Linked DNA regions of Drosophila melanogaster. The protein of the gene in region 2 interacts with the protein of the main gene of each other region in a pairwise test. Each region holds a gene or a part of one and is shown on either strand. Other genes may lie near its edges.

Region 1 (6,124 bases), on a different chromosome or scaffold from region 2:
CAAGTGGATTGTTAAGCCGCCGGCGAGTGCCCGAGGCACGGGCATACGCATTGTGAACAAGTGGAGCCAATTTCCCAAAGATCGTCCTCTGGTGGTTCAGAAGTGGGTGCCCATAACTTCGTCTTCTTTAAAAATCTTCCCTAACCCTAAACCCCACTTCAGATACATTGAACGTCCGCTGTTGATCAACGACAATAAGTTCGATATGCGTCTGTATGTGGTACTGACCTCGATCAACCCACTCCGCATCTATATGTACAAGGATGGACTGGCGCGTTTCGCGTCCGTTAAGTACAGCTCGGAGCTGAGCAATCTGGACGAGCGCTGCATGCACCTGACCAACTACAGCATCAACAAGTTCTCGCAGAACTATGCGAAGAACGAGGATTTCAATGCCTGCCAGGGCCACAAGTGGACGCTTCAATCGCTGTGGTCCTGCCTGGAGAATCGTGGCGTGAACACTAAGCGCCTGTGGGCCACGCTACGGAATCTGGTCATCAAGGGCATCGTGAGCGGGGAATCGGGATTGAATCGCATGTACCGCCAGAATGTGAACTTTCGCTACAATTGCTTCGAGTTGTTTGGCTTCGATGTGCTCCTGGATGAGAATCTAGTGCCCTGGCTGTTGGAGATAAATATATCGCCGTCGTTGCATTCGGAATTGCCACTGGATCTGCACGTGAAGGGTCCGCTCATTCAGGCCGTGCTGAATACGGCTCTATATCAGGTGCCGCCTAAGCTGAACGAACGTCAGCAGGCGGACATCCTGGAGGAGCTTAATCTGACCGGTCCGTTGTGCCATGACAAACGCATCTTCACCACCTGCCTGACTGCAGAGGAGGTCCGCAAACATAACCAGTACACCAATCGGAGCATCGAATTCCGGGAGGAGTACGTTGATACCATACTGGACAATCTACTGCCGGACGATGTCCGTTGCCTGATCGTTGCCGAGGACGAGCTGGCCAGGTGTCAGCCGCTGGAACGGATCTTCCCCACCGCCGGCACACATGTATATCTGCGCTATGTCGAGAATGCCCGGTACTATAATCGCCTGCTGGACGCCTGGGAGACGAAGTACGCCAAGAATAGGGAAATGGGCATTGCCTTGCTGTCGCGCTATTGCCGGGACAAATACCATTTACAGGTGTCGGACGCCGCCATGGAAAAGGTGAACGATCAATTCAATTCAATTGAATTTCCCCTTCCGTACCGCTTCTGTAGTCCATTTTCAAGTCATATTTCTTATCTAGGAACCAAATGTTGCACTTACCGAGATCGATATGCTGCACGTGCGAAAGGATGAGGTCTTGGACGGTGCCACCACGCTGGCCATACTTAAGCCCGTTGTCCAGGAGGGCTGCGAGGTGGCGCCGATTCCGGATGCCTGCATCGAGATCAAGTCCTGAAATTGAACCGAACTATCAGCACTATCACCATTGCTTCTTCCATTGCCATTGCCATTTCCATTCCCGTTTCCGTTACCAGCTCACAGCTGTGCCAGCATCCCGTGCAGATGTGCTCCGGAATTGTATCCGCTCAGTAAATTCACTTAACTTCGATCGTCTTTGGTGGCAATAGCCTGTTTTGGCATCCAGCTAGAAATTGGATCACACGTCATTTCAGTAAATATAAAACACTACGGGGTGTTTAAAAAAATTATGAAAATAAATATTTTATTTAAATTTAGTTCTTATTATTTATTCTTTATGCGAACACTGTAAACTGTAAAGAGTATCGGTTTTCTTATTGGGTAATTGCTCAGCACAGTACTAAGCTTTTTGAACTACGCGGGCTTTGGCAGTTGCGATAAGTCTAAGGAAGTGCAATCGATAACTAGCGGCGCAGTCTTGAGTTTTCAAGCTGCCGATAACGACATCACGCCTCCAATTATCGATAGACGTAGTATAATAACAATAAACAAAAATTCACTGTATTGCACGGCGCTAAAATAAAAATTAAGTTTGCAAATCATGGCGTGGACTGAATTATAAACCCGGCTTGAAACCAAAGGACTGCAAGTGGAACAGCTGAGCTGCACACTTGGGAAATTGCCAATCTGAAACTGCGTGGAAAAAAGAGTGGCCCATTGATTTTTCGCTAAGTATCTGCTGATTAAAAAAAAATTGACCGCAGCGTTGGAATTTCGGCCTGCCAATCAGAAAAATGAGTGGTAAGAAGCCAGTTCTATGCAAGAATGGGCACTATATATTAGTAACTAATAATATGATTTGCGGGGATTGGGATTTGCGTGCTGACTGTATGGGAATTTGCAGTCTGCTTTTGGGGAGTTGGGGTTAATGTTCAGCGGGCCGGGGGCTTCGAGGTCCTGGCTAAAAAGGACGCACCTGCGCCCTGACCTCCTCTCCAACTTCTTGAAAAGTGCGGACCCCTCGATGAAGTCATCAATTTTGTAACATGCACACGTATACAGTGAAGCTTGCATTATGTATTTCCTTTTTGGGCTTTTTGTTTTACATAATTCTGATATTGTGTTTAATGCATAATAAGTATGAAGTGGTAAACCTTAGTTTCTACCCACTGTGCTTTGTTAACCCAAACAGGCGACGAAAGTGGCGAGGAGAAGCACGTCCTGAACTTGTCCAAGCAAAAGCTGAAGAAGGTGCCCAAGCAGGACGATGCGCACAGCATACGGCAGCTCATCCTGGACGAGAACGAGCTGCAGAAGATCGACAACATAGACTCGTATCTCAAAATTGAAACGGTGACTTGCAACGTTCTGCGAAAAGAAACAAGTTCCTAATTAACAGAAATTCAAATATTTCAGCTCTCCTTGGCCAGAAATCAATTGCTGCGCATGTATGGCGTCTGCCGGCTGCATTGCCTGCGTGAACTGAATCTGTCCTTCAATGGCATACTCTCTATCGAGGGCCTGAAGGAATGCATCCATCTGCGCGTTCTGAATCTGGAGGGGAATAACATCAAGACCATCGAGCATCTGAACACGAATGTCAATCTGGAGTGCCTGAATCTGGCGGATAATAGCATTGGCAGCATTTCGGATATGTCCTATTTGCGCAATCTCAAGGAGCTATATTTGCACGGAAATCGCTTGACGCATCTGAGGCAGTGCGACAAGTGTTTGCCCACCTCACTGGAAACCCTAACGTTGGCCAAGAATAGCATCAACGATCTCAACGAGATCTGTACGCTGTCGCATCTGAGCAACTTGCTGAGCATTTCCATTGCGGATAATCCCTGTGTGACCATGATCAACAGTTTGGAGTGAGTTAGCTTAATGGATCATATGGATTGCGCTTAAAATGTAACATCTCTTGCAGTGGCTTTGATTACCGACCTTTTGTTTTAAACTGGTGCATGAGCCTCAAGTACATCGATGGCTTTGTGGTCGATCCTATTGAGAGTCTTAAGGCCGAATGGCTGTATAGCCAGGGACGTGGTCGCCAGTTCCGTGTGGGCGAGCAGCAGGGCTTGGCAAAATACCTAAGTTCTGTGTGCCCGCTGGTGGGCAAGGCGCTGGAAAATGAAAACGATAGGAAACTCCGGCTGATCCTCAGCAAGGCGCAACACCATCAGCGGCAGCTGCAGGAAGAGATCATGGATAACGCAAATAGTTCTGCCAGCACTTCGCCCTCATCCCATCGCAAGAAGCCCACGAGTCGCATTCAGTCGCCCAGATGTAAGTTATTAACTCCCTATCTATGCTTTTTCATATAACTTATATTTTTCTGTCTTCGATTTAAAGTCTCCCGCTTGAGTGGCCGCCAGGGATCACCGGAGTCCATGGTGAATAGCTATCACGGGAACAGCAGCAACAATAGCATTGTTAGCGACAATGGATCTACGAATCATTCGCTGCAAATGAGCATTTCGCTCATTGAGAACATTAAAAACGATGGCGAAGGCTTTAGTTTGGCCGGCAGCGGAATGTCCAGCAGCGTGACCACCAAGACATACAATTCCACGGAGTCCACGCCACGGAATATAACACCCAATCCCTACAATGGTATGACAATTAAAATATATTCAATGCAAGAGTGGAAAATGATGTTAATAGTAAACAACAATTCCACAGATCAAACGTTCATCAGTCAAACCCCATCTGGTGGTCCATTGGCGGCTGCCTCGAAAATGGTCCCAGTTCCGGAGACTCTGATGAGCCCGGATGTCTGTCCCGCCGCTGTGGCCCAAAGAGTTACGGTTACGGCACTGAACCCTCAGCTGCACAAGACCAAGATCAACAAAAATAAAGGTAGCCAGTAGTTGTTACTCTAGACTTTTAAAACGACACAGATTTCTAAAACATACATACACATTTACACTACAGACAACAAACTGAACTTGCCAAGAGTGCGAAGTCCACAACTGAAGAGGAACCAAAGCCCTACGAGCAGTCCACGGAGGATGGCCAATAAGTGCAGCGCGGACAACATGCAGGCACCGGAGAAACTCCAGCAATCGGCTGTTTTGGCCGATAGCGGTGGCTTCAGCACCGACGACGACGGCGAGCAAATCAACATAGAGAAACTGAGAGCAATCCGGAAGATGGCCGCTCAGAAGCAACAGCAGATGCATCAGGAGCAGCTGAAGCAGCAGGTGGACAACAACCTGAACTGCCAGGATCGGCTGATCGAGCACGTGACAGAGTCCTCGGCCGTTACCATCCAAAAGATGTGGCGAGGCTATCACACACGCAAGAAGACCAACAAGGACATAGCCGAGCGATTGCAGCGACGACGCACACAGGAGTATATCGAGTAGGTGGTCTCGTTTTAGGCAACATATATCGCAACTTTCTAATGCTCTATCTGTCGCATTCCTCAGACAACTCGGCAAGGATATGCTACTTACGAAGGCCCAGCTCGAGAACGAGCGAAAGATTCAGCAGCTGCAGATGCAGGCCATCAATGCGCTGTGGAAAAAGGTGTCCACCATGGAGGTGGATCCCAAGGGAATACCTGCTGCTGCGGAACAGGGCGAGGACTCCAATGGCGGAGGGTCTGGCCACCTGAGTCTCGATCAAAATTCAGCCGCCGTGGTAAATGATTTGGCGAAAAGATGCACCATGCTCACCGATCAGGTTCAAATGCTGCAAAGCTCGATTGGAACCATCGTCAACTGCCTCACAATGGTGTGCAATCTGCCGCAGGACGCTATTAAGAAGCAGGCCGAGATCATTGATTGCAGCTCCACTCAGACGGACCTCATTGCCGTACACACGCCGCAAATAGAGGACCTCACCAATTTTCCATTCACCAAAACAAGGCCCTCAACCTTGGCCCTAGAATCCAAGCACGAAGCTGCTCTGGCTTGTCCCAAAATCGATGAATTGAATGATGTCGACCTGAAGGAGACCCAAGAAGACTCGGAAAATCTTGATAAAGATCCATGAACAAATCCCAGTTAATAAATGAGGAGTATAAACGCTTTAAGGGTCGATCTCAGCGCTTATTAATTCCTTTCTTAGGCTTTTGTGTAGCTTTTGCAACAATATTAGATCGGTTACGAGAACTTAGAAGTAGCACCAGCATTCACAAACACATTACTTTGTTACATTCCTGAGATGCAGCGATGGTGGAAGACTTAACAATAGTATGAACAAATCGTAAATACAAATTTTTGTAAAGCACAAAAGGTGTTCTTGATTGCGGGCAGATTTTGTTCAAAAACAACACCAGCATTAACCAACAGTTTTTTTTTAATTAAGTTTGACAAATTTGTAAATAACCTAACTATGTGTGTGTTTGTACATCGTTCAGTCCTCTTCGCTGGATGTTTCCTCATCTTCCTCTTCGTCGGAGGAATCGCGATTTACAGGCCGATTTGTATTGGGCAGGAGATCATCCTCGAAATCGGAGTCGTCTTTGTTTTGGCTGGTGGCTTCCTCCTGTACAGGTTTCTTTGTGAATTTATCCGGCCAAATTGCAGCTTTTGTGTATTCCTTTATATGTTCGGGTGTGAGTATTTTGCAAATCTCGGCTTTGACTTTATCGCCCTCCTCAATCGGTTCGACCAGCAGAAAGTCGCCACGTTTCACCCACATGCTCTTGCGGAATTTGTTGGGCATCGAAACTAAAAGGGTCAGAAGGATACAAATTCATTATTAAGTATCAACATGAAATGAGTTGGGATGGGCTATCTC
Region 2 (7,512 bases):
AATGCTCATAATTTTATATTTCACATTCTTATAAAACACTATTTAAAATTAAATAAAAATCGATTTGACTTGTTTTAAAAATAAATACGTGCATGTATAGCACATATAGTATGCAAATAAAAAAAATTATGTGTTTTAGTGGGTTACGCTAGATTTTAGTGGTAAAACGGTGGAGCGCATACGTTGCCATCCTGTAATCCCAAGTAGAAACCGACCCGCTGCTGCGGCTGACTTTGATGCGGATTTTGCTGCTGATGCTGCTGGGATATATCCTGGTACCCTGATTCCAACTCGGTGTAGGACATGGTAATCCTTTGTGTTGGTGTTAGTGCGAGTTATCCAAACAAAACAAGGAGCAAACAACAACACTGGGAAACGTTTTTCGTATTCTGTTTTTACATTTTTCACTCTCACCCCCACGCACGCAACTTTGCCGCGTGTTAAAAATATAAGTGTGCGCTTATATTTTTGTTAACGATTTTTTCTCTCACTGTCCTTCGATTTACGAGTTACGAAATCTGTTATTGGTGTGGTTTTATTATTTGTATTATTATTTTTTCAATTTGGTGTGTCGTTCTAAATTCGCCGCCGGCGGAATTATGGAATTGGGTGGGCAAGGCACGCGGGCAGCTGGGTGAATAACAGGATGAGCGGGAGGTCGGCCAATTGCTGTGGGTTACGTGCTCACTAATAATTAATTGTTATTAAACTAGTTTTCTCTCGCTTTTGATTATTTGTCTGCCTTTGCTGTTTTCTTTTAAGGCCATCACACGCACACACGACTACTCGCTTTAAAAGTTCCGTTTGTTTTGGCAATCCGCCGCAGCTTTCAGGGCGAATTTGTCTAGAAAGCTCCGCAATGTCTTGAAAGCTTGGCTGCAAAAAATCACGCGGGCTTTTGCCAAACAGCTGTTCTGTAAATCAAGAAAGAAAAGGTATTAAAAGGTATTAAAAAGATAATAGAGAGATATAACCAAAAATAAGTATATAAATGTATTTCAGTTCAATATTGCGACTAGTATGTATATTTGTTTGTTAGAATTGCTTATTAATCGTAAGAATTAATTTGTGTATGTAGTTAAGGATACTACCGAATCTACCCATTAAATTTTATATTATTTTAATATTTTTTTAATATTTAATATTTAAAAATATACTTAATATTTAAGTATTAACATATACATATTTTCTTCCATTTCAGCTCAAATATATATATTCCATAATACAAATTAAATAATAACAAGAGAGATTGCTATAGTCGGCTATCAGATACCCGTTACTCAGCTAATGAATATGCCAACGCAAAGTTGGGAAATAAAATGAGAAAAAATATATATGTAAATGGTTCGAGTTGTGGGCGCTGTGGGCCAAACGCCGTTTTGGGAGTTTTTTTTTATTATATATCGATAGAAATGGGCAAAACAAGCAAAAAAACGTAGAAAAAACAAAACATTTTTCAAAAGTGTGGGCTTGACAGCTTTTGGCTGTTTTTAGGCGTTAGAGTGGGCGTGGCAGAGTTTTTTGGCAAATCGCGTCTATGTCTCTGGAAGCTGCATGATAAATCTGAACATTCTAGCCTGTATAGTTTCTGAGATCCTGACGTTCATACGGACGTAATGACAGACGGACGTGGCCAGATCGACTCGTCTAGCGATCCTGATCAAGAATATATATACTTTTTATAATGGGAAACGCTTTCTTCTATCTGTTACATACTTTTCAACGAATATAGTATACCCATTTACTCGTAGAGTACAAAAAGGGTACAAAAATGTAAAAATGTATAGAGAGAAAGTGGAACCAGAAAACTTAAACTTAATAAAAATGTGTTTAGTTAAAACAAGAATGCTTCGTTTATCGTTTCCTCCTTTATTCGAGCAATCTAACCTATGAAATCCTAATCCAATCGGCGATGTTTGAGGAGTAGTTTGGTCTTGATCCTCTGGCGATCCCGAGCGATGATCTCCATGCGGTCCTTTATGTTGGTCTGGAAGAAGATCAGGTGCAGGGTACGACTGGCGGAGCAGAGCTATGAGTTAATTCAATGAATATAAAGGAAAAAGTAGTCAGCTTGTATTAAGTTTGCAAACAAGGCAATTTCAAATCAAATATTTATATAAAATCGCATTAATTATTCTAAAATACCAGTAGTTTTGGTTTTGCTTACTCAAAGTTAAACCAAAGTCAATGTAAGCACAGTAGGTAACACTGCAGTCGAGTTTTTTGACTATCGCATACCCTTCACTCAGATAATAATTAATTTCTAGTTTTATCATCCAAGCCTAATGTACACATTTGGCACCTTTTACACCTAGACAAGTAACCAAGTAACCCACCTGTTGAAGCAATCGCGCCTTGAGGCGCAAGTTTGCAGGCTCCTCTGCATCCAGGCCATGTCCACAAGTTTCCAGGTGCAGGTTCAACACGAAGATCAGGGTGTCTCTGATGGTTTGGACAATGCGCTGCACTTGCTCGGTTGCAAAAAGCCGGCGGACCAAAAATCCTCGCACACCGGCATTAATACGTGTGGCCGCCCACTGGCGCTCTTCCTGTTTCAGCTCGACATATTTCTGGCAGGGATTAGAGGCGAAATTAAACAGGGAACGAAGGCACTTGCTAGTTGGGTTAGTAATTAGGTTAGCTACTGGTGCTAGAGGCTTGGTCCCTCGATTTCCTCGCAGTCTTTGTTAAGGCACTTGCATAACTGACTACCCGAATTGCTAGGGCTTCTTGCGCTGTTTGTGTTGGGGAAGAGGAAATAATAGAATGGGAGTACAGGAAATAGATATTACAGATTATATCGCCAAGGTTTTCACTTTTTTAGGGATAAAATACCTAATTATTATATTAAGTGATTATGCTAAGAATATCAATATCAATATCAATATAAAGCAAAAAAGAATGCTATCAGATACCCGTTACTCAGCTAGTGGATATGCAAACTAGAAATTTCATCATAATTTTTCTGGGATATCGATACAAAATTGGGAATAAAATGAGAAAAAATTTAAAAATTAATTAAAAATGTCAATAGAAATGTACATGTCTAATAAAATTGTGAAAAATATCCAACATATATTCAAGCTTTTATAGTTCCTGAGATTTTGACGTTCATACGAACAGACGGATATGGCCGGACCGACTCGGCTATAGATCCTGATCAAGAATATATATACTTTATATGGTCGGAAACGATTCATTCTGCCTGTAGCATACTATTCAACGAATCTAGTATACCCTTTTACTCTAAGAGTAACGGGTATAAAAATAGAGGACCATAAATAAAAAATCGTTAATGCTTTAGTTAAATAAAAGGAAAGGTCAAATAGCAGAGATTTAAAGTAAGAGTCCAACCAAATTAGCTGCTAACTTAGGTTGGCACAAATGAAAACCTTTGTGACTTAAAGCAAATAAAATATCGCTCAGATTCGCTTGAAAAACTTACATTGCCCAGCCGCTTGGTCGGTGAGGCGCTTTTTGGTGGGGCGCTTCCCCTTTTCGCTATAATGGAGCTATTTTTTCCCGGGGAACTTTTCGGTCGTCCTGCTCCACCTCCAGGCTTCGCTGGCGATTTCTTCACCTCGCGGTCTGCTGCGGTGATTGTTTTTACTAGACTACCGCCCACAGATTGCGATCGGCGCCGGACAACTTGGACACTTCGTCTGCTATTGGTTAAGCTGCTGTTCCGGAGGGGCAACGATCGCGGTGTGCTGGGGGCACTGAGCAGCTGCGGTTCCGAGTCCTTTGATGGTTTTGGACTAAACAGCCTCTTGCGAGCGGAAGAAGGCCCCGCAATTTGGCACTTGTCTTCCATCGTCGGAAAGTCTTCTATGTCCTCTGAAAAGGAGGGTAACGTAGGCGAGGGGGAAAAACGCTGCAGGTCTCCCGTACTGGTGCTTTGCGATATCAGACTGTCAGGATTTTCGGTGGCCGAGGAAACATCAATTTCGGCACACAGTTCCTCTATGAGCTGACGCTGCTGATGATCAAACTCGGCCTGCATGCGACGACGTTCCTTCTCCTGGTGAATGACCAATTGATTCATTCGCTCCCGATGGCCACGCAGATAGTTGCGCACTCCTGCCTTGCGGCTGGCTTCCAAAGCGCCATGCTCGTCCAGCGCCCGTTCTATTATACGCTCCACCTCGCGATCCCGCCTAGAACAGCTGCTGCCGGCGGTTGTGGTTTTAGTGGCGATGGTGCTCTTGGTTGCGGCGCTACTGTTGCTATTGTAGCTGTTGTGGCTAATTTTGCTGCTAATACTCCTTGCACTACGGTTCACCCGCTTGGCCTGAGACTCGATGGTCTGCTTCTCGAAGTTGGCCAAACTCTGGCTGGGTTTCACAGCCAGGGCCTCCCTCTCCATGTGCTCCACGAGAACCTGGGAGGGCTCCTCTAGTGTGAAACTTCTCGAACGCTGAAAATTAGCTGGTTCTGCCAGTGGACTGCCGAGCTCCCTTGCCGTTGTGTCCTTTGTATCCTGATCCTGCTGGTCTTCGGCTACCGCAGGACTTGTGCGCAGGATACACTTATCTGGAACTTTGGGCAGCAGCTTACCCAGTCCCGACTGCTCGAACTGCAGGATACGATCGGTAATGCGATTATGCCGCCTTGGGGAAGTGTTTTCTATTGATTTCACAAATGGTTGAGGCGTGGGAGGATCCACCTGTATGGTGGGCAACTGTTTGCCAAAGACCAGAGTCTGAGGACGAGCCTGGCCCCGTGTGCTGTCATAGATTAACGTTTCTGTCTGCTGCAGCTGTGACACACTTCTCCTACTGGCCATGTCGGATCCCGCCGAGTGTCTGGCCAGGCGGTACCGCTTCTCCAGCGCTTCTGCCATCTGGCGGGCCAGCTGCACCTCGCGCTTCTTGGCGCTCGTCATCTGGAACAAAGTAAAATGGTTACGCCTCAGTAAATGCCACTCCCTGACCAAGAATTTAAATCACCAGCGGTGGCAGTATAGGCTGCCCGTCCAAGTGGAACCGAAAGGAGACAGGGTCCATGGAACTAGAGCCACTGCCCTCGGAGGGGGCGCTCCAGATCGATATGGTGGTCGTGGCCGTTGGTGTGGTGGCCTCGCTGTGGCTACCTCCCATCTCAACTGCAGACAGCAGCTGCTCCATTGCCCTGCTTAATTGGAGAAGCATTAGATTGAGCAAAATCAGTAATTAGAAGCCCGTAAGCAACCGGGATTCATAAAATCCCAAGACCCACTCACCACGTCGCATCCATTGGTGTTTTGCTACTGGGAATTTTTGTTGGGACGTCGAAATGTCAGGAAGCCTTCTCAGAGGTCAGCTGAATCTAGGTGTTTTGTGAAAGTTCATTAAATGTCTGCTATGTTTTAGTTGCCATTAGAGATGACGATGGCACTAGGGAGCCCTCGACTTCCCGCCAAAAATTAGGAAACCTCTGAAGAGTTCATTACATCAATCAAATGATATCCCGAATCGTTGAGAGTTTTGTATTCAATGTTTCTACCGTGGATCGCAGCTACCATCAAGAGCCAATGAGAAATGCTGCTTTAATGCTGGGGAAAACATTTATTTTCAAACGGCAATTCAAAACTCACACGAAGTCCATGCAGCCCTGACGTCAGATATCGATAACCGGACTTTTGGAAGTAGCGTTTTTAGAGAAAATTTGAGGACTCCACAGATTAGCAGAGGAACAAGTTTTCAGTCCTTCCAGAATTATAGTAAAGAAAACGGTGGATTAAATTAGTGTTCAGGAACTTATATTGTATATTTCGTATGCTTCAAAATCTTGTCAAAATTAAAGAAACATTGTCTGCGAAAACTTAACTTTTATTGGTTCTTAACAAACTAATTTGAAACAGCTGGCCGAATTCAACAGTTTACTAGGTGGTTATCGAAACTGGTGTGGTACATTTTGGTATTTGATTTGCGCCGGATGGTATTTTCCTTCGCCGTGCGCGCGGTCACATTCACTGGATGTGTTTTTTTGCGCTGATTGTTGCTCTGGCGCGATCGAATTTGCCTGGAATTCGGGAGTCAACATAATATTTTCGAAAGTCACCAGCTATAGCGAAAAGTATGCGAGTTCTATTACAGCTTGTCGATATGTTGTGTTCGTAACTTCTGTTTGCATATGTTATGTGTGTGTGTTATCTAGTTACAAAACGATCTAAAACCGTTTTTGCAAAGAACGTCCGCAAAACTGAGTTTGTACTTCAAATATGAACTATTTGCGGTTTATATTGCTCCAGATTTCTCTCTTTAAAGTTGCATTGTAGATGCAGTCGTGTGTGTGTGCGTGAGATGGGAGTGCAATTTTTTTTCAACAGTATCAGCTTTGTTTTTTAAGTAGAATACAAGTAATTTTTACCCCTAACTTTATTCCTAGCCCCTTTCCTTTATAAAAATACGGTAAAAGTGTAAGGAAAACAAAAACAAAAAGCGCAAAGTTTCGCACATATATGTGTACATATGCATACACACGCTGAGTGTGGTGTTTCTGTATTGTTTTTTTTTTTGTGTTTCATTCTGCGACGCAATTGAAAAAGACATCGAAGGCCAAACAACTTGGTGTTTTTTACGTTTTGTATGGCTGTAGTTGCTGTTGTTGCTGCTCAGTTGGGCGTTAGTGTTTGGCTCCGTTCTTATTATTATTATTACAACTTTTCCACGCGCTTCGCTCTCTGTTTCTCTTCCACATGCTTGCTTTCGTCCTCTCCCACGCTGCATTGCTGTCTCACTCGCACACAGCCGGTAAGCCAAGCAGCAAACAGCAACAACAACAGCAACGGCGGCGACAATAAATTATGAAAAACAAGGGAATAAGTTGATGAAATAAGTATTTCGAATTAAATGGTTAATCACTGGTGGAAAAGTCGCAGTTCCAATGACACCTTTTCCATGCTGAACTACGGAGTTTTTTTTTGTTCTTAATCGGTATACGTTTGTGAAAACAAGTGCGCTTGTGTGAGTGAGACAGGGCCTCAAAAGCCAGAAAAACATGACAAAAACATTTTGGTAAATTGCCATGTATCCGAAATAATGCTCATGCAACAGTTACATATAAATATTGTTATTTTATTTTCTACGCAGTAGTCGCGGATTTTCAACAAAGAGCAATCATAGTGATGGTATAAAAGAGGGGAAGGACGAAAGCAAAGAGAGCAAACCGAAAACAGTTACTCTGCCCATGCGCACAGCTGACCCAGAACCTGGCATAACGGTAAAGTAATTGTGTCGTACAACAAGCGAAACTTGACAGCGAAAGGGAACCGGAAGTCGCCTAAAATCGCGGAGCGGAAAGGAAATCAGTCCGCCAACCGCGGGAGCTGAAAATCGAAATCACAACCCACAAAAGCGATTCCAAAGTGCTATCTTGGTGCTACTCCCATACAAAATGTTCCAAGTCCTGCCCCGTCCGTCAAGATCCACGTTCCACTGCATAGCGGCAGCCGTTGTCACAGTCGTCCTAATGTCATGGTAAGTCGAAGTAACAATCCATCCAGAATTTTGCCATTAATTGATCCAGCTT
Region 3 (8,002 bases), on a different chromosome or scaffold from region 2:
ACCACCGACATCTCCACCCGAAGGCCAATCAGCAGTTTAAAGAGCTTGGTGCCCCGCAGCATGCCCTTATATTTGGCACCGAAACCGAAGAGTTTCCACAACATGAGGACAGCCAGGCGGTGCTCCTCGAAGGAGTTCAGCCCGTTTTTCTCGGATGTGGGTGCTTTTTGGACCCTCTGCTCCAAAATATCACGCAGCAGGTTAATAAAGTCAGCCAGCTCCACGAGCCGGGGGCGATTACCATTGAAGAAGCACATGTTGCGGAGTATTCGAAGGCACAGGATCCGCTTGTGACTCAATGGAGGACTACGCCGAATCGTGTTTATAAGAGATTGAAGATGGCAAGCCTTTCCTCCTACGTCGTACCGGGAAAATACCTCCCAGAATCCGAGCCATGCAATCAGTACAGGTGGTCGCACTTTAAGATGTGTTGAGCACGGATTAGCAGGAAGGATTGTGTCAAACATATCCAGCAAATTCATTTTGGACAAACTCAGCCGACCCTCGGTGCAGCAACAGCAGTTTACCATAACCCTTAGTGCGGGCACCATATTCAGAGATGGCTCTTTGTTTGGAATCTCCTTCTTGGTGGTCTCGAAGTCAGCGACGCGAGCCATTAGGTGTAGCAGGGATTGGGCATGTCCCGACTGAAGCAGGGATATCTGTTTACACATTTCGAATGAATGCTCCGTAAGGAACATAATCAGCTGGACAGTAACCTTTTTTAAGTGATACGAGTGCGATAACCAAGGCCAAATGCGGATGAGGATTTTGGCGATATTCGCAGCCATACTGGTCTGGATGATCTCAGAATTGGGAGAACTATGCCATTGGGATAGCATGTTAATCAGTACCAAGAGATTGCTTATGATACTTTGCGCCTTGTGAGGTCCCACTCGCTTCACATAGACGGCGGCGTTTCCGATTTTTTCGTCATTGAGAAAATCGTCCAGAATGTGAACTACCTTGCCAAGCAGCTTCGATTCTCCGGCTGCTTTCACGGCCCAGGTTGATGCCTTAAGCAGTTCGCCGAGTGCTTCACAAACCTGCACCTGGCCCACTGCAGGAAGTTCCAAAAAGTTTAAGGCCTTCGATAGATAGTAACGGTCAAAGAGCTGATCCAAGCGATGGAAAATTATAATAGCCGCATTAGTGGCCTGGATCGCATGGTTTGGCCTTTGCTTATTGTCATCCGAATTATCCGAGGATTCATCGTAGATGCATTGCGATACAGATTGCTTCTTTTTTGACTCGAATTCTTGTTTGCCATCTTTAGCAATATCAGGATCACTGAATGCTAATTCGAACTTCTCCAACTCACTTAGCATGCTTATATCATACGCAGCAAGTTGAGCTTTGGTGAACACAAGTGATAATGCTGACAGAGTAAAGCGCTGAAATGGCGAATTAATAAGCTTCACATGCAATCCAAACAGGAAGAAATCCATGAATAGAGATGGCTTATTCTTTATCTGTTCGATGAGAAATGAGTTCGAATTCGAGTCCGTGCAGAATATGAGAAACATCTTTAATAGGGGAATCACCATGTACTCGGGACATTCCAAACTCAAAACATCGTTGATCAGCGTTAAATAATTCTGCAAGAATACAGAATCTCGACAAATCGTCATCTTAAGGAACTCAAAGTTATTAGTGTAGCACATCGAGTACAATTCACAAATTTGGGATGCACACAGTTCCACAAGCGGAATCGAACAGGACGCCTGCGACTTGAGTTTTTTCATCACATCGCTGAGACCACTCATCAAACTGTGGCCGCAGAGCGCGGCACACCACTCTGGCTTCATGGCCACCATTTTGGTGCATATGGCAACATAGCAGCTAATTACTTCACACGAATGCCGCTCACCAACTATCTTCTTGAACATCCAGGGAGTGTCGTGAATTGCTTTCAGCGAATTGTAGGCGGTCTTTAGTAAGTCATGTTTCCGCAACAATTCCAAGCTACTTTCGGCACCAATGAGCGGCATCAGAAGGATAAATACTCGTCCGGCCAACTCCCTGATCAGCATCATTTCGTGGGCATCCGTCAGAGTGGTTAAACAGCAAGCCGGCAGTCCGCCGGGTAGAAAATCCAGGCGAGGCAGAATTTCTGCTACCTGCGAGCCACAGATGGTTATCCAATTGGCCAACGATACCCAGGACAATGCACGCACTTCACTGTCACCGTGCCCGCAAAGTGTTAAGAAATAGCGCAAGACCTTATATGAAGCTCCGACATCGTTTGGGATACTGGCCTTGCTGGACGCCTTTGGCTCCTGATATATTAGATGGATCTGGAGCTGACAGATTATGTACAAGCAGTCCCGCTGCCACTCGGATCCGGTTTGAGTTGAGGTACGTAAATTGCTGGACAATTGGATAAAATGCTGAGAGTAGCTCTGCGGACAAAAATTCAAGGTAAGAAATCAATATCTAATGACGATGATCCTTTACTCACCATCAACTGAGCATTACTAAATTTCAGATTTCGCTCGCTTACAAAGCGCAGCATGCAAAGTATGCAGCGAACGTGCTGCAGCTGGCGCAATTCAAAGTGCGTCTTGGCCACGGCACTCAATTGCATAAAGAACTTGCCATACCAGTTCATCGAATCATCACTGAGCTCGTTGGACAAAAGCTGCATCATGCACTGGCAAATCAGGAATAGCTTATCCAGAGAAATTTGGCTATCGTGCAGGAGTAATTGGAAGCTGTGATGATGATCCGTTTCCAGAGCGTAGCTCAGTCCGTTGATAGCATGTGGCTGGCTGAAGCGAATGCATGTTACGCACAGATCCAGCATGGACTTGTACACCTTGTCATCCGCTTCGTTCCCCGGCGCTAAGCGGATGTACTTATGGATTAATTTCCACAAGTTCTCAGCCACCGTATCACTTAATGAGTTTCGCAGAACCACGAGAAATAGCTGAATGGCCGACACAGTTTTTTGCAGATCCTCGTGTTTGCTGCAATTCTCCGCTGCGATAAACTGACAACTTAGCTGCTCATTTAAGTCGGAGGATCTTACTAACGCCAAATCGGCCATTTTGATCTTAAGAGACTCCCTTATATCCAAAGCGCTCACAGACTCCAAAGTAATGCTGGATGGAACCTGGCAAACGCGATAGGCCATATACAGTCGCCAATGCTGTGCAGCTTTTGCCCTATCTCGCCCGAAATGGGTCGCCTCCACATTTTGTTGCAGCTCCAATCCTTCCGTAACGGCAGTGGGTATAACTTTATGTTCAATTTCATAGGTTACAGGCAAAATCAGGGGTTCCATATTCGCATTCAGTACCAGTTTGTCTTCAGTGGAGGTGATACAATTCTGGAACAGCATTTGGAACAGGCATATACTGACATCCTGGCGCAACTGTTCCAAGTGGGGGAACAAGAATAAAGCCCTCAGCAGTAAAGTGTACACCCCGAATGTGTTCGCGACTTCTAATCGAAACTCATCGTCATTGAACAGAAGCTTCATCAGGATACTCACAGTGGGCAGCAGAATATCAGTGTCGTTCCCCTTTTTCAGAGCGTTGTGCAGAGACTCCATAATCAGTCGATATCCATCCTCCTTTGTGGAGAATTCCTCACAAGCTCTCCAGTTTCGTAGCAAGACATTTAATTGAGTCATTGTTGACTTTCGGATATTCGACTTTATGTCCTTGGCCTGGAGTAATCGGAACAGGGCGTCCAAGCTGCGCTGACCTTGAAACCGCTCATCAGAGCATTTGATGAAAATGCTTCTATAACAGAATGGTGGTTGAATTATGCAGAGATCGTTGGCGATGTGCTCAACCGGTACGTTGCTTGCGGTGGGCAAATATCTATTCGTTTGCTCCTGACATTGCAGCACGTAAGCAATTGTAGTGGTGGCCTCGCTCCTAACCTCGCCATCCGGATGGAACATGAAGTAAACGTACCCGCGCAGCATCAATTGCGGATCCAAACGGCTGGAGTCCGGCTCTAAAACGTTCCATATGACGTTGTGCAATATCTTGTGTGTAACCGACCTGCTGATCAGCAGAGGCAGCACGGGGAGTAGCAACGGGAAAACAACGCTGAAATCCTGCGGAGCTAGAATAGCGTTTAGCTTCATAATCATTATAGGATAGTCGAGGCACCACTGCTGCATACGTTCCGAAGTATTTGCTTCCGAACTCTGAATTATCATTCTGCGTAACAGCAGGGGAGTTAGCGGCACGCCTAAGATATGCTGACGAATCAGATCCACATTGCTGCAGCCGGTCATATAGACTGTCTTGTTCATAAAGGAATGAAAGTGGGCCACGGTGGATTTGATCATTAAACGATATATAAGTGAACGAAGTTTGAGAGCAGGCAAATCAACAAGGGTGTAAAGCAGCTCATCCGCATCCTTTCTTAGCTTTAAATTGCCCGCGTAGAATGGAATGCATTTTACAACAGCTCCGAAGAGCTGCTTTACCAATGTCTCACTGCCCAGTTGGACGAGCACAAGGCACACTTGTCTGTACTTCTGGATTAGCAGCGACCCAGTCAGTTCCGTATTCGGATGTAATTGATTTAGGGCCACGCTGTAGGCCCGCTTCAGCTTGATCAACTCCTCGTCCGGTGATGGTCCAGAATCCAAAGACGATATTAGAGTGTTTAGCGACTTCATGCGCTCGGGCATGCCAGACAGGTAAGCGCTGTCCAAAACTATAGGTTGGATGAGTGCTTTGGCTTGGCGTCGGTCCATGCGTTTGTCATAGTTTATATTTAAGGCCACCATATCGTGCAGCACGCCGTTAAGGATCAGCGATTGCAGGCGGGGAATCCTGAGCGAGTCCATCAGCTGGGTCATGCAACTGCCTTCTACACTGTTACAATACGCCAGCAGACTTTTGACCGCGTCCGCGATGAGCGTAATGCTCACTAAGGGAATTTTTGAGCTGAGAACATCGTGGGTCCGCACTATTTCCACGATCAGCTCCATTATGTGCCAGTTGTCGTTTGTGCAGCTGAACAGCAACGGACGAATCAGCTTCATGCAATTTTCCAGCAGAATTACCAAGGCGCTCACCACCTTCACTTGCTTGGGGCGTGACGGAGGATCGAACCTGTCCGCGTAGCTCAGAGTGTTTCGGCGCAACAAGATGCGCTGCTGCAGCAGCCGCAGGCAGGCAATTAGTGCCCGGTTCACATGTATCAGGCTACCGTCAGTCATCGTTTGCAACTGAACCAGATGCAAGAATACGAACGGTGGCTGCAGAAAGTACTCAGTTGGGTAGTCGCCCATACGGATGATCAGTTCGGTGAGCTGCAACTGCAACTCAACGCTATTTCGTGGCAAATCAATCATGCTCTTCATGGTGGCCACATCGTCCAAGCACGGATGCGACCAGGAGGGCTCGTAATCTTCCGGTTTCAGATTGTCGTAAATCTGATTCGAACTGCTGTCTGCGGATTCAGTTGCCTGACTGGGAATGTCATTTGAACTAAGGCTGGAGACGCTCGGCGTCACCCGGTCTATGTTGTACTTCTCGAGAAGCAGCAAATTCATATCATCCAGCAATTCGCTGACCCGCTTGGACTCCTGCTTGTGTAGCACACGGCGAACCTTCTGCAGCTCGGCCTTGAAGCGTTCGTAAGGAATCTTGCGAATCACCGCCTCGGCGTACTCGGATCGAAGGAGTTCCATAATCATGGCCAGCACACGGTCGGGCACCAGCGGCGGTGTGTACCCGAACCAGCGGATGAGCTGCTTCAGCAGCAGGACCGGCTTGAACTGTATCGGCTCGCCCAGTTGCAGGCACCTGATGAATCTCGTCTCAATCTGGTCGAGCGCGCGCATACGGATCTCTTCCGATTCGCTAGTCAGCTTGGTTAGCTGCCCCTCCGCCAGCTGGAGGGCCGGGCTCTGTTTGGTACTCATTTCCTTAGACTAATAATACCCGACTTTTAGTTCGTTTTCACTTCTCTTCCAGGCAGCAAACGTTTTAGGATGTCATTTTTGAAAGCGTCAAACTCGAATTTTGGCTGGCGTTGCCACTCTGCTTGAGTGTGCGTTCCCTGCATAAGGGTCTAAAAATACTAAACCTATTAAAATAGTATTTCTCCACCTGACACCTCGCATCAGCAACAACGAACAATATTCCGCATCAATCTTTTATTGCTCCCTAAGAATTAGGTGCTTTTCACACATAATAAACAATTACTTGAACCTAATCCCTTTTTTGTTGAAGAACTTTTATTCATCTAATTGTTTTATTTTTATATTATTTATATGGTTTTACTTAATAATCTTATAAATTATGCCTCTGATATTTGCCTTATTTCACCAAAACTAAACTACGCGTATTAAATTGCCATATTTGTCTATCGATAATTTGGTCGCAACCGAGTTTGTTATTTCCCAGCATGGCAAGCACGGTCACGCTAGCGCTGTAGGTTTAAAAAAAAGTCGCCCATCTGATTGGACTTGAGTTTGTGCTTAGCGGGTAAATAATAGAGTTTGTTTGCCGCTGCGGTGGAGAACTAGACTTTTCTCTCTGTGTGTGTGTGTGTATAAATGCTTATCTTGGGTTTCATATCGTTTTGTTTACGTGCCGCTCTAAAGTGTAGCTGTGCGATTGTGAATACAGCCAAACGCTTTGTAACCGCTAATCATTGTTCGCCAACCGGTTATTTGCAATTTAAACTTCAACAAAGTGCTATTTCTGATCATTCTTATCCTTGTGACCCATTCATTGTTCCATTTTGAACAATAAAAAGGCTCCCTCGTGACGTCATCGGTTGGATTGTGTTGTTTTAAGTTTATGTTTTTGTTTGCTTTATTTTTGAGGCAAACAAACTTTACTCACACATACATGTGCACAGTGTACGCACATAGTGCCAAATGACACTTGATGAATTCGTAGTGCAAACAAAGCATATGCTGGAAATGAAAATGGAAATAGCGAAATGATGTCACTGGCGCACGCCCGGGTAACTCCCTCGCCCCGATGCCGCCCCTACCACACCCCAGAAACCATTTCGCCGGTCGCAACCTTCGCTTTTCCACCTTTTGCGTACATATATGTACATATGTATATCTCACCATCCAGTTGGAAATCAATGGCCCGTCTACTCTTTTCTAATTAGAAATGGCATGCAACTGCGATTGACATTCCGATTGGATGTCGCTCGAGTAATTTACAATTGAATATTTTGGACACTGAGCCAAAAAGGGGAGCTAAGCAACAAGTTCATTATTATTTATGGCTAATCTTATCGGATTGGCCACTTAAGTGCCCGATTATTGGACCATTATCGTCCCGCATCTCCACCCATTGAACTTCGACCGACTGAAGCAAAAAAGATTTATATTGCACCAGGAAAATGTTTGCCATTTGATTTGTGTCACTGCAACCCATTAGTATCAAACTTTGAATGGCTTATAAAAGATATTCCATTAAATATTATGAGTGAGTTCTAGGAACCGGCCTCATGAGACTTTGAGCTATTAAAGTGTGAATTTCTATTTGTAACTTTAAAATACGAAAAACCCGGCTCTACTGAACATTTCTGGCTTACAAACCAATTTAAAATAATTGCCATTCATTATACAGAGTGCTTTGAACTTCATATAGCATGCTCTTGGCAATTTTACCCATTTTATTCGTTTGTTATTCAAAATCACGGGCAGACAAATTGTCACCACCCCCCCCGTGAATATTCACCCCAACCGCAATTTGAAAGTGCGAACTTGATTATAATGCACTCACTGCATTCAAAATTCGAATGTCTGGCAGTTCAATTAGCAGACTGCGATATGTTGAAAGGCATTCTTAATAGAATAATCAAATCGTAACAACATATTATTCTTATTATTAATATGTAGATAAGCACATTGCGATAGGAAGTGGGAACTTTGAGTTCCACTAATCATTCACGAAGCACTTTTCGGATTGCTCAAAACCGACTATTTCAATTGTTGCTCTATTTTTTATGGCAAACGAATGGCATAAACAAACAGCTTCGACCTGTGACTCACTCC
Region 4 (4,818 bases), on a different chromosome or scaffold from region 2:
AATAAATTTCTCTCTCAGGGCTTTTGCGCAAACGAGCAAGGGAGACAGAGATATATTGGGCTGATTTCATGAATCGGAGGAGGCTGCACGTAGGCACCACTAGATGTCCTCCTATCGATAGGCCTCGATAGAATGAAAAACTTCTCGATAATTATGGAAAATTATTATGGATCGTTGGGGGGAAAACAAGTTTCCAGCTGGTGGGCTCCAATTGACAGCGTTTTGCACTCAGTTGATTGCAGCTGCAAAATCCACTCCAGCACAACTCCTAATGGGCGCACACATTTTATATGTGTGGGAGGCCAAGCAACGAACGTCACACCAAGTGCAATAAACGTCATGAAGGTTATAATCGTAGTTTGTTCACATTTCGCCGCGTTCGCTGCATTTTGGGCACGAATACGCATTTGAACACGAGTGTCAGTGCATTACGCTCAATCGATCAGCCATCATGAGTCATTTTCCATTTCCATAACTGCCTGCACACGCTCAATTTCAATTTCTCGGTCTCGGCTAGCTGGCACAGATACTAGTGCCGTCTCTCTCACTTCGCCGGCAGCTTTGGTGGTGTTGGTGGAATGGCAGGGAAAAGGAATACCCTTTTGTGCTTGGAATCTAGTATTGCTTAAATTGATAATCATATTATGCGAATTTATACCAGTCAACTGGTCTAATTACAAAGGGTAACTATTGGTGCTGAAATCTACATATGTATGTGTGAATATATTCCTATTGTACAGCAGTTTACCCATATGGATTTCATGATTTTTCAAAGCAGCTCACTTATGCCCGATTTTATAGGATATTAGTGGAATTAGTGGATGTCAGTGGTCCAACCCAACCGTATCTAGCATATTTACACAACAATCTGTCCTGTTTCATAAGATTATCTTTGATAAACACAAAGTATGGACTATAATCACTATCTAAACGAAAACAACAAACTTCTAGTTTAACCTCCAGTTAGAATATGACTAATTAGTGGATTTAGTTGATCTTTGTCATTGTTATTTTATAGCATATATCAAATCCCACATATAATTAAGAACTTGTGTACAATAATAACACCCCCAGTGATGGTTATAAAGTCCAGATGCTGGAATACCCCTAAAATTAGGGCACATACACACTTATATTCAGCTTAATGGCCCCAGTCGAATGATGCAATGGGGTTCTCTTGGCGAAACAAAACAACTGTAAACACCACACAGACTGTGCGGGGTGGGTGAAGGGAAGCGGAGTGGGTGGTGGGGTTGGGCGCCGGCAGGCAGACAGCATGCATGTTCTCGAACATCGTGTGACGTCAAGGAAATACACTGCGGCACCCGGTGCGCAACGTGGCCCAGTCAGTCAATGCTCCCTAGTTCGTTCGATTGATTAGCAAGGGTAAACGAAACGAAAGTGCTGCCTGGCCCAGCTTTGCCGATAACTGACTAGAAATCCACTGAATGAAAGCGTAGGAGCAATGGTCGGGTCTTTTCTCTGATTGGTAGTCAGTCCCCACCCAATGACAAGCAGAATAATACATACATATGGTTAGGAACTTTAGAGGAAGTATAACTTCCGATACAAAATATTACATTAACGTATATCTTTTTTTTACCATTGCATTTTAGCAGAAATATCCTACAAATCGTATTTTATAGGTACAACTTTAAGAAGCAAAGAACGTTTGTCACATTCTCAAAATAATAATTATATGCTTAAATAAGGCTTTTGTTTTCTTTTGGCATGCAAATAACTGTTGCCTACGAAATATACTTTATATTTAGGCAATACAACAATATTACGACAGAGATACAGGTGAATTTCCAATAGGTAGAAGTTCAAATTTATACGAAAGAGCTGCCAAATTCACAGTCAGAGCAAATATTTGCAATTATTTCATCATTCTGTTAACATGTTGTCTAGTTAAAATTAAACTGGTGACACACGAAGCGCAAATATGCGAAATCTCTTCAGAAGGTTTCCAAAATATATCTCATGCATCACAGTTTGCTTCTCAGCTATGGGAATTTAGTGTCAAACTCCCAGAGTTCTAGAAACTCAAATTGCTCACCTGACTGACTCTGGCTGCAGCTGTTGTCCGTGTTGCTGCAGGAAATGCCGCTGCCACTCCGGATGCCGCTGTCCCCAGATCCACGGGGGTGGTTGTTGTTATTGTTGTTGCTTGCTTTCGCAGCAGCGGCAGAAGCAGCTGTCCCGGACTTGGGCTCCACCATGTTGTTGCTGTTGTTGTTACTGTACGGTGCTCCTGGACGCGATTAGAGTGAGACAGGCAGAGTGCTTACAAGCTGGAAAAAGGGTTTACGGTGCAACAAATGAGCAGCAGTTTTTCTCAGTCTCTCGTGCTCTTTCCTCTCTTCTCGTTCAGTTCATTCAAAATCAAAATGGTGGCCGCCTATGGGATTTTTGTGTTTTTAATACAATGCGGCGGTTGATGAAAAAACTGATTCAATTCTGCTGCAGATGCTCCTCTCTCTCTCTCTCTCTATCTATCGCTCTCCGCTGTTTATTTATTCTTGGTTTGGTGGTTGAGTCGTCGTTGGTGTGGCTGCTGTTGTTGTTGTAATCGATGGCTGCTGCTGATTTCTCTCATCACACAGGCGAAAAAAGCTCAAGCAAAAAATGGGGTTTATCTATTTGCACCGCTTTTTTCGGTTATCTGCGATATTTTTTGTTTTTTTCTTCGGGTATTGCGATTTTTGCGTTTCACCTCTTCTTTGTGGGCTTGGTGCAGTAGTGCTGTTGCTGTGGTTGTTGCTCTTGTAGTTGTTGGTGAGATGGTTGTTGTAGTGATGGAGGCGTTAATTTAGTTCTATTTTATTTTCCGGAGCTGCTGGAGATGGCTGGTGTGGCGGTGGAGTTGGTCGTTAAAATTTCCTCTGCTGATTACAACACAAAAAAAATCGCTGAATAGCGGACAAAAGCCGTTTTCTTTGCGTATTTCGCTTTAAGTTTCCTTCCCAGCTACCGATCCATTTTCAAAGTTCGAATGATTCCGACGAATGACGACGAATTCATCCGTGTGGCCGGAGGTACCATTTTGGTAGGACCGTTTTTCGGGCCAACGAAAATACCACAAGACGGCAGCGACACTAGGGTTTTTTGCTTCAAATGTAGTATGGCTACGCAACTCACATATGGTTGAGAACTTCGCTGTTTATTTGGTGGTTAAACTAGCTAAATACAATAAGAGTGGCAACGCCGTCACGTTTTCTACATGTATTTTACTTGGCGTAGTGCGCCAAGCTTATAAACCACAGTTGGGCGGTTCTTTTGAATTGTTTAATTTACACCCCACTATGAAACTTATTAGCCTTCTTTATTTATTTTATATTTTATTTTTGGGAAGAATACGTTTACTCAAGGTTCGCAGCTTGTCAATCAGTATTCGCAAATATCAATAATAAAAGGCATCAATTTTCCAATCAGCAGTTGAAAAGAACTCCCCTCGACATTTGAACAAAATGCATTTTTGGGTGATTATAATTTATTAGAATTTTTATTGACTTAAGGTAAATATAAATAAAATATTATTCAAGTACAAAGTTATATATACTCATTAATATTATTTGATTCAAGTAAATATATTTCAAAGTGGCGGTGTTTTATTATATCATTTTTCAATTAAGTACAATTTACTGTTCCTGCTCTATTTCTATGGGTTCGCAGAGAGTCCAAAAGTACTCTTAACACTCGGTCCTGTAAGGTGTGTATAATTTTCGGGCAGGCCATTTTCGGATTTGGCCCGACCGGAAAATATTGCGAGCCATTGACGACGCACCTGCAAGTTTTAAACCTGGCTTATTGACTCGTGATTTCCTCGTCTTTGAGACCCGGGGATCGAGTACTTGTGGGTACTTTGCGAACCCGGACTTCAAACCTTGCCCATGCAACAATTGTATCTTTGTGTAGTTTACGTTTAATCAATGAATTTGGATCACAAACAGTAAATACGTCTTTAACGATAATTGCAGTTGAATTAAACATATTAAGATAAGGGTAGTGGGGTGGGGGTACCTTTGTTTTAATTATAAAAATATTATATCTGCATTTTACATGTTTTTGTTTCGCTACTATCGTTTTTGCTCGAAATTACATAAGTCCAGCCTTAAAACAAGTAATTTTCGTCACCAATCGCATTCGCGCACGCTCCATTATCCATAACACTCGGTTTCGTCATCAATTCAATTCAATTCAATTTTGCATTTAAACGCTACGTTGCCTTAACTTCAGTCCTTTCGCAGAAAATCTAACCCTTAAATGTATTTAGCTCTTCGCCCGTCGATCCTTTTTCTTCCCTCCTTCCTTCCTTCACATCCCCCGCATGCTGCAGACACTAAACATAAATTCAATACGTACAGTTTCAAATTGGATGCGCGGCATCGTATCGTCGTTTAATGTAAAAGGTGTAATGCTACGCGCCCTTTTCGTCTGATCCTTGCCCTAAATGCCATCCTAGGGTATTAATCCATCCACCTCTAACTACAATTTAACTTCTCTTTGGCCGCAAACCCCCCGCATTACTTATTTAGCTCCTGTAAATATGAACTGCTTATGTTTCGCTTACGCTCCTTCGATCATTTTTGTGTTTGCTTTTGTTTTTGTGTTTATAATTTATTTAAATGCACTAAAAGTTGCACGGACCGTTTGCCAGCAGCCTGTGAAGTCGATCGTCGTCGGTTCGGCTGTGTTGCGATCTAGATCTATCCTGTAATTGTCGATTTTATACCTTCGATAAGCCAATGAAGTGTGAGAAAATATGTATCTATTTCGTCATTTGTTTGTTCGTTCGTTATGCATTTTAGTTGGTTG

What was found.
Region 1: the proteins of Cp110 (region 2) and Cep97 interact in a two-hybrid assay, tested with the Drosophila melanogaster proteins (one study listed by BioGRID).
Region 3: the proteins of Cp110 (region 2) and ana3 interact in a two-hybrid assay, tested with the Drosophila melanogaster proteins (one study listed by BioGRID).
Region 4: the proteins of Cp110 (region 2) and Lk6 interact in a two-hybrid assay, tested with the Drosophila melanogaster proteins (one study listed by BioGRID).

The regions. Positions count from the first base shown.
Region 1 is NT_033779.5:3,865,816-3,871,939, forward strand, and holds Cep97 (centrosomal protein 97kDa), read left to right. Parts: upstream 1-1,881; 5' UTR 1,882-2,166; coding exon 2,167-2,173; intron 2,174-2,564; coding exon 2,565-2,725; intron 2,726-2,788; coding exon 2,789-3,246; intron 3,247-3,302; coding exon 3,303-3,661; intron 3,662-3,727; coding exon 3,728-3,988; intron 3,989-4,057; coding exon 4,058-4,234; intron 4,235-4,274; exon of another isoform or gene 4,275-4,309; coding exon 4,310-4,739; intron 4,740-4,806; coding exon 4,807-5,374; 3' UTR 5,375-5,610; downstream 5,611-6,124. Other genes in the region: TTLL4B (tubulin tyrosine ligase-like 4B), read left to right, coding at 1-102, 163-1,171, 1,254-1,409; CG31957 (uncharacterized protein), read right to left, coding at 5,738-6,054.
Region 2 is NC_004354.4:22,480,460-22,487,971, reverse strand, and holds Cp110 (centriolar coiled coil protein 110kDa), read right to left. Parts: upstream 5,578-7,512; 5' UTR 5,432-5,577; exon of another isoform or gene 5,308-5,431; 5' UTR 5,236-5,307; coding exon 5,222-5,235; intron 5,134-5,221; coding exon of another isoform or gene 5,131-5,133; coding exon 4,950-5,130; intron 4,886-4,949; coding exon 3,446-4,885; intron 2,736-3,445; coding exon of another isoform or gene 2,721-2,735; exon of another isoform or gene 2,571-2,720; coding exon 2,337-2,570; exon of another isoform or gene 2,226-2,336; intron 2,030-2,225; coding exon 1,898-2,029; 3' UTR 1,888-1,897; exon of another isoform or gene 1,852-1,887; intron 915-1,851; 3' UTR 514-914; downstream 1-513. Other genes in the region: l(1)G0196 (lethal (1) G0196), read right to left, coding at 183-305; CG12576 (uncharacterized protein), read left to right, coding at 7,378-7,460.
Region 3 is NT_033778.4:12,342,983-12,350,984, reverse strand, and holds the start of ana3 (anastral spindle 3), read right to left. Parts: upstream 6,003-8,002; 5' UTR 5,900-6,002; coding exon 2,462-5,899; intron 2,403-2,461; coding exon 1-2,402. UniProt on the Drosophila melanogaster protein: Participes in the structural integrity of both centrioles and basal bodies and in centriole cohesion. Participates in the later stages of centriole assembly through the interaction with Rcd4 leading to the centriole to centrosome conversion.
Region 4 is NT_033777.3:11,761,425-11,766,242, forward strand, and holds the start of Lk6 (Lk6 kinase), read right to left. Parts: upstream 3,034-4,818; 5' UTR 2,223-3,033; coding exon 2,060-2,222; intron 1-2,059.